2 linked regions of the Mus musculus genome follow. The protein of the gene in region 1 interacts with the protein of each later gene in a biochemical or structural test. Links are inferred from orthologs where the notes say so. Each region holds a gene or a part of one and is shown on either strand. Other genes may lie near its edges.

Evidence for each region.
Region 2: the proteins of Trdn (region 1) and Casq2 form a complex in vitro, tested with the Homo sapiens proteins (3 studies listed by BioGRID). The link is inferred for Mus musculus from reciprocal best matches to the Homo sapiens genes TRDN and CASQ2.

The regions. Positions count from the first base shown.
Region 1 is NC_000076.6:33,081,818-33,086,397, reverse strand, and holds the start of Trdn (triadin), read right to left. Parts: upstream 2,916-4,580; 5' UTR 2,675-2,915; coding exon 2,653-2,674; intron 1-2,652. UniProt on the Homo sapiens protein: Contributes to the regulation of lumenal Ca2+ release via the sarcoplasmic reticulum calcium release channels RYR1 and RYR2, a key step in triggering skeletal and heart muscle contraction.
Region 2 is NC_000069.6:102,124,144-102,127,962, reverse strand, and holds part of Casq2 (calsequestrin-2 isoform 2 precursor), read right to left. Parts: intron 1,415-3,819; coding exon 1,284-1,414; intron 23-1,283; coding exon 1-22. UniProt on the Homo sapiens protein: Calsequestrin is a high-capacity, moderate affinity, calcium-binding protein and thus acts as an internal calcium store in muscle. Calcium ions are bound by clusters of acidic residues at the protein surface, especially at the interface between subunits.

The sequences.
Region 1 (4,580 bases):
GTTGTATCAGTCCTTGCATAGTTCTTAATCTTCCTAAACCTTAGCTTCAAACTTTATAAATAGCAATAAAACTGTTTCACATCGATGTTGAGAGGGTTAAGTGGGCATTTAAGAAGTCTGATATCTTAAGACTCCAGACAATAAATTGACTCAGTATTATCACTACCATCTTTATCATGGCTAGAATAAAAGTTGTTGTTTCCATAAAGTCCTTTGGGGTTCAACTTTGATTTCTGTTTTACCTAGTGCCTATGCCTGGAACACATTTGACATGGAACATGGTTTTCTTTTTTTTCATTGAATGAATTATCCAAGTTGAAGTATCAATAGAAAAATATATGTGAAAGAGTCAGTAAGTTTGGTAGTTGTGGCATGTATTAGAAGTAAATAAGCCAAGGTGTCAACCTGTGAACTTCCAAAATTAGCAATGGCCAAAGACTTAGAGTTATTATGATACCAGGCATCCAATGAATCACCCTTGTTCTTCCTTGGTCTAAATCTTCAAAATGTTTGCTTTTCATATTCAGTGAGTAAAAGATGAGATAGATAAATGCTATGAGGCTACTCCTGCAGTGTTTATACTTCAGGGATTTGCACAAAAGTGGTGGTAAGTGAAATACAGCAGAAGAAAGAAAAGACAACTGAAGGCTGAAAGAACAATGAGAAACAAGACCTTTACAAAACATCTCTTTAATGAAAGGCAAACAAGAAAGAATGAAGAAAGGTTGTTATAGATGAGAAACAAAGAGTGGGAATCACAAGGTAAAGAAAAAGTGTCAAATCCTTTGGAAAACTGAGGAGACTGACTATGGTAATAACCACAGATAACACAAATTCATTGAGCTGGCAATCTAAGTTTCTCCTGACAAATAAACAGATCATTGCAAAGAAGGAATAAGTACAACACTCATGATCACATGGTAGAGACCCTACCTACTCCGAAGACCAGACTATGGGAAATGATGATTATCCAGAAAATTATATGCTGTGCTCACGTAGTCAACTCAGATTTTCTCAGTTGCTGTTTTATGGGCCCTACCACAGAGGCTTCACAACATCTTCAACTCCCTATGGGTACAAATAATTCTATTTCAAAACAACAGTCCTTTAATAAAACGTGCTATGGATCAAGTGCAAATGCATGTAGGACATGCACTGTAATCAAGGAGCACGATTGGCCAGCAATGTCTGAAATTAGTGGCAGCCTAGGTTCCAAGCACAGGCTGACAGGAATGCCCAGAGGTTTCTTAATACCTTGTACAGGAATAAGCAGAACACTTTTATAGACAGATCTTTTCAAGGCCAACATAAGGGCGACATGACACAGAATGTCCAAAGTATAGAAAAAAAAATTATAATATTATTTACATTCAGTTAGCAAATTCTGAACTAAAACTGGCAAACAGTAAATTTTATATCCTCTAATGGAAAAGAGAAAACACAGGCTGGCTTCAAGGAGCTGATACCCAATCTTGACTACAATTTGGTAATGGGAAGTCATGGAATATCTGAGTAACAGGGTTTTTTGTGTGTGAAATAGACATCAAATTGCTACTTAGTGGAATGGTGTGAGGTCTCACAAACGAAATGTGCATAAGTTTCTAAACAAAATACCTAATAAATGGAAATCTCTCAGTAATATTGTTATTAATTTGTGGTGACAGGCTATCTCTGTAACTAATACAAGCAAGGCATTTTTTTTCCTCACAGATATTGCCTAAATCTTCAGGGAAAATTATTTTCTTTACATAGATTTCTACCCACACAAAAGATAAAACAAATAGATTTCTATTTTACAGTCTCGTTAAAAACAAAATGACATTTAACTTGGAAACTGTCAAAAGTACCACCTGCCTTATGTACTTATTGCTGTCAGAGAGAATGTTAAGCGTATCTTCCATAGTTTTACCTCAACTAAAGCCAGACTGTATTATTTTTAAAGAATTACTTCATTAGTAAGACGGGTGTGAGTGTTTGTAGATTTATTATAAGTGTATAAATAGAAAATATGTTAATATAAATATAAAACACACTACTTATAGAGAAACAAGAAATGAGTTTACAAAATAACTAGATTTCTAAGAGTTAAATGCTTTATTTTTAAAAGTTAGACTTCTCTGACTTTCTGAAATTTCTAACTTTGTCTTTGAGCATTTGTCAATGGTAAAATGACTATGATTCTTCAGGGCACTTCTATCTGCGATGCATATAAGCAAGCTGTGCACCCTAGCTGGAAAGAGAAGACATTTAAGAATTCAAATTTTAAATACTATAAAGAAAAGATGCTCCAGATCATATTTCTAAACTGACACATCACACATAATATTCTGATTTTTTTCCATCTCCATCCTCACATGTCTTATAATTTTTGTCTTAAATTTTTTGCCACCATGTCCTCAGCTATTTATAGAGGTGAGGTGATAACGGAGAGGGTAGTGGGGCCTCTAGCATAGCAGAAAATACTTTCCACACGTAAAATTCCCGATAAATCTCCCCTTGCTCCCTCAAACACACAAATCTGGCAACCGCTCAGCTTCCAATTTCATTTTGCAGATCCTGTGTAGACTCACAGAACTAATTAACTAGAAGCCAGCTGAAGCCTATAGCGTCCCTGAGGCTGTTGATTTACATAATGTCCCCAGGCAACAGTACCTTCAGCAGTGATCTCAGTCATGGTGGGTGCAGAAATCAAGCAGGTGAAGAGTTCCAGTCAAGTGGCACTTTGCAGAATAAGGTAGGATTAGAGAACTCTGGTAGAGGGGTATGACAAGGGCTCTTCCTTTTCCTGGATTTTCTGGCTGATTTTTGTTGTCTTGTTGAACTTTGCCTCTTCTCTGCAGAGTTCTCCCCCTGGAAACAACCTAAGCCCTTTCCAAGCAGTACTTGTGGCTCAGCTAAAAGTATCAGCTTCAAACAAAAATAGCCTCATCTGCCTTGGACTCTTCAGCACTTTTTTTTTTTTTTTTGGCACTCTGGAGGAACACACACACACACACACACACACACACCAACTCTCAAGCCCTAAAGATACAGGCAAATATAAGTAAGTAAATAAATAAAAGCAAATAAATAAAAGAGGAAAACAAAGCCAGAGTATCTAGAAAGTGCTGTCTAAGCCCCCGCAGTGTCTCTGATATAATTACAGATTGGGGATTGGTGTCAGAAAACATAAAATAAAGAGTTGAAAGTAATCTTACCCTAGATAGCTCAGATTTATTCTTAGTGCCTCTAATACTCAGAACATTCCTCTCTCCCTTATTTGGCTAGGGGAGGATCATGTAATGTCTACCACAGGCAGAGGGGAGGGCAGTTGTTAGTAATTTTTCTGTGTTGGTTTGTTGTTGTCCCAAATCCTCTAGTCAAGTGCACTTATATAGGGCTACACTCAGAACTGAAATTTGTAACTCCTGGCCATTCTTTTAAGCTAGTCATGTTGTAAAAAATTAATATTTTTAAATATTAGTCAATAAGAAGCATGTAATGTGACAATAAAAATCAATCTCTGAGAAGTATGCCGTCTCAGGGTTTTATTCCAACACCTTATTAAAAACAAAATATCTGAATTCATTTCAGCAGTGAAAGAAAGAGAAGGTGAAATAAAGTTTAGAAATCCACTGTTCACATTTTAGAAATGGATTTCACCATTTCCCTTTCCGAACTTGAAAGAAAGGAAGAAAAAAAAATCCTAGCAGCAGCTAACAATTAGCTAAATTGCCTGATTAGCATTTCACCTTCCCACTTCTAGACAGGTGTTAATGAGAAGAGAAATATTCAGTAGTTGGTGGTTGGAAGGGGAAGGAGAATCAAAGGGCATTGATGATCATAAACTTTAACCAATCTGAGAATTATCAAGGGCTGGCTTTCCTTATCTTTTATTTTCATCTCACATTCAACTTAATAAAAGCTTGCAGTTTTGTCTCTTTGCCTTAACTCACTGCCATTGGCTGACAGAATCTCTTGAATCTGTAGGCAATTCTTAGTTTACAAAGCACAGCTCTATCTTCTGTTTTAAAATGAGGCTCAGAAGAATGATGTGACAGCTATTTGCATAGACAATGACATCCTACATGTCACCAGCTGTCTTCATTGGCTGCCTCAATTTCATGGCACAACAGAAATTGCATAGAAATCAGCTGAATAAACAAGTCAGAACTCTTAGTTCAGACGGGAGGAAAAGATTCCAGGTAGACTCTTAATGTTATACAGAGCCCACAACTAGCAGCTGGGACTGGACTGAGATGATTAACATTGATTACAGTGCTCATACATTACCTGAGAGCTAATGTCCTCTTGCAGGCAGTACTGATTCCAAATTAAAGGAATCACTGCAAATAAAGACCATCCAAAAGGCAAAATGATGCCTTTGGAATACTGGGTTAATCTAGAAGTGTTCCCTGAAAGCAGAGTTCACCTCACTGTGGTTCTCTCCTGTGGTTATTTGATAACAATAGCTCCCAAAGGCTATGTATTTGAATGCTTTGCTCCTAGTTGATGGAACTATTTGGGATGTATTTGAATGTGTGGCCTTGTGGGAGGAGGCATGTCACCATGGACAGGCTCTCAAAAGACCACCTGTTCCC
Region 2 (3,819 bases), on another chromosome or scaffold:
GCGCAAGCGACGTAGGGTGGGTCTGAAAAACAAAGGAGTGCCCTTGAGTAAGGTTCACCACTGAAGAAACTAAGCCTCAGCCCATGCAAAGATGGCTTTGGCTTCTCCGCCTAAGCCCAAGGAGCCCTGATTTCATCTCTGCCCACAAGGAAGCAGAGCTTTTCCACCAGCCCTGTCAGGAGAGAGCTAGGCCCAAACCCACTCAGCCCAGTCACAGCCTTCTTAGATCCAAGGCCCACCAAGGGTATGGGGATGGTCAGAGGGAAAAGAGATAGCACCTTCCTAGTGACCTCTCATCATAGATAGAGACCACTCCTGAAAGTCCAGAGCCAACCAAGAACAAGGAAATGGGACAGACAACAATTATTGAAATATAGAATGCCAGTTTTTGTCATCAGGATCATCCATCAGAAACACAATAGATGTCATGTTTACCCTCCCAGCACTGACTCTCTTCAGGGACAAAGACTGTCCAGGCGTAGGGATGGGGTGCTTCAGGCTCAGTGAATACATTTGTCTATGATATGGAGGGAGGAGAGGTGACACAGTGGACCCACTACCATGTTCCATATTCCCAGATAGCTCTTCCCTCCAGAGCAGAGGCAGAGGGCTCCAGCTGGTGGGCCAGCCCAGGCCAAGACCTCTTGTTTGTGTAACTAGACCTCACCACACCCATCTGTTTACACATTGAGCAAGGATGCTTATACGATAGGATCCCAGAGCAGAACAGCTGCAACAAAGGCCATTTGCCCCCAGAACTGTGTAAATATTTACTATGTGGTTCTTCAGTGAAAAAGTTTGTGGATCCCCTGCTGGAGATGCTCTGAGTCTTAGCAAATATCCCTATCCTGGGAGCTATCTGTAGAACGTGTGGAATTGTCCCGGGTTATATTATTTAATTATTGAGACTTATCTCATGGCTGTGACGTTGGGAGAATACCAGCTCCATAGGTTGGAGAATAGCCAAAGTTGCTCCCATAAAGCACCTGGAATGTTGTTCTACCCACAGGAGGTTGTCGCTGAAAGTATAGAGTTTCATCTGTATCTTACTCTGGCTTGGGGTGGGGTAGGGGTCTGCACTCGAAGGAGGTAGTTTAACCCTACCTGCAAGTGTAGAACCTTATTCAGAAGTGGTAACATCCTTGATACTGGTCAATGATTGACAAAGCCACACTGGCCAGTTTTGTTCTCCTGGGTCTTACTCTAGGTTGTTGCTCTTCGTGGCTCTGGCCTGTCAACACTGACATCCTCCCACCCCATCCTCTACATGTTATCTCAGGTACCTTTGATGTTCCTTCACAAACTCCACAAGCTCCTCTTCTGTGTACGGTTTGTTAGGGATGACGTTGGGCTCATCCATAAATGGCTCATAGAAGCCAACTTCGTTCATCTTCAAGGATAACTTCTTTGCCACCTGTAATAAGCAGAAATCGGATTATCGTTCATTCAAATGCTAGCTTAGAGTAGCAGTGGCCTACCTACCCAAGAGTTGGTGCTTGTGTGCTTTGGTAACAACATGCAAGATTCTGGGCAATTTTAACTTAAATGTTGAAGTAGCAGGGACTTGTATTCCTTGTGGTCTGGGCTGGACTTATCTTTGATCAAAGAAAGCTCAATAGAAAAAGACTCATCTGGAGAGTGAGGGCCTACATGTGTCATGGAGTGGTTGGAATAAAAAGTGGGGAAGGTCAGTGCATGGTTATCTTCCCTCTGCTGTGTTTGCTAAGGCTGGAGGAGCGAGCAGATGGTAAGAGAACATGCTCACTGGGTGGCCTTAACAGAGCTAATTTGGATGGAAAAGGCAATTGATGAAAACCATTAGAGCACATAGGCTCACAGAATCAAAAGCCAATCCATTCACCTGTCTTCTGATTGCTAGTTAAGCTGAAGGGTGGAACCTATTAGGGTTCAGTCTCTGTACCAAGCTTGCTAGGTGTTTTGTTGGGGCCTAATGGCTGTCCAGCTGAAAGATAACTAGCTTTTGCATAGGAGAGAAAGGCTTCCAGGGGCATAGGACTTTCAGTGCTAAACTCTGGGTTGTTCCCAGGAAGCCAGGATGAATGGCTCACTCTATAACTAACCTCAAACAAAGTGCCTATAGCCTGACAGATTGTCTCTTTTGGTTAAAGAGGCCACACACCAATGTGTTGTCAGGGAAGAATGGTTGCTGTGTTTGGCTGCTAAGTTGCTGAGCTCAGGACCTCTCGCTGTGACATGCTTTGAGAGGCCTGGAATGTGCAGGGCTCAATGGGAAGCCAACTGCTCTTCTCTAGCTTGCCCATGGCTCAAGAAAGCACAGGATGGAACAATAGCTCCCTGTAAACTGCACAGCATTGCCTTGGAGCTGACACCTTCTGGTGGCAACCACAGTGTGGTGATCCAGTAACCCAGGGGTTGGGACTAGTAGGGGAGGCATGAGTGTTACATAAGCTCTTACACAAGGAGGTCCACTCACATTTGCAAGGACCATTGCTTGTTATTAATCCCAGGTCAATCTATTCCAAAACAAGCGTTTTCATTCCAACATCCTATGTGGAGTTCATGCAAACAGAGCTCCAGTCAGGCTGGGCCTGTGGAAGCCCAATAACCCCAGCACGAGGAGGGGCTGAGGCAGGAAGATCACAAATTTGACATCAGATTAAACTAGAAATAGTCCAAGGCTAGCTTCATTTATGAAGATCTTGTCTCAAGATAAAAAATTTAAAAGTGGGCTGAAGTGGGATGAAGTTTGGTAGTAAAGACCTGCTTCGTCTGGCATGCATGGGGTTCAGTCCCCAGCGAGAGCGAGAGCGAGAGTGAGAGCGAGAGAGAAGAGAGAGAGGGAGAGGGAGAGGGAGATGGAGAGGGAGTGTCAGGGAGACAAATGACACAGATACAGGCCAGGACCAGTATTGACCCAATCTTTTGTACAGCCACCTCTGGTACAACAAGCTTGAAAATGACAGACTCTTCTCTGAGTTCACTTACACACTCTCTGTTCTAAGAACAGGCTTCTGGGGGATGAGAAATGATTTTTATGAACAGAAACTGTAATACTGTCAAGCACATGGCCTTCTTGCTATGTGCTGGCCACAGCTGTAAAGTGATTAGGTTGCTTCTGCTGTGTGATGCTCACTCTGATTGGATGTGGTCAGAGCTATCTCTGCTCTGTTTTACATACAAAGAACAACTTGGGTGAGCGATTCATCAGGATCATATACAGAGAGATGGGCAGGGCTGCGCTCTCTATTTTCTCATGTCCCAACATCCCTTTTCTTTTGAGAATTCCCTTCTCCGTGACCATGCAAAGAAAAAAGTCTGCAGATATTCTGTAAACACTGCACCAGCAGCAGACATTCTAACGAGATGTTTCTATGTCTTTCTATCACTTGCTCTCAATAATCCATCCCACATCCCGGAAAGTAAATATGACCTCCTAAAAGCAAGAGCTGTTCAGAACCACATGTCAAGCGGCGCGTGCATGCATATGTGTGCACATGTGCCTGTGTCCTCGGATGCCACTGCCTGGGTCTGCAATGCTAAGTCTATGCATGTAAAATTGGATGGTTGAGGCCTTACGTTGTAGTCTGAAAGAACCTACTTAAAGATCTCCAACAATCTCTTGGATCTTCTCTCCCTCACTCTCCATGGAGCACCCTTTCCTTGTACTTCATTTGCTTCCAGCTGTGTGTGCATAATTGCATCTTGGATAGCAAGGACTGAGGAGAGTGGACAGGCTGAGGAATTTGTTAGTTCAGTTTGTTGACGTTTTTTGTTTGTTTGTTTGTTTGTTTGTTTGTTTAGTTAGGTCTTCTGTGTCCATGGCAAGACTCTAGCAAA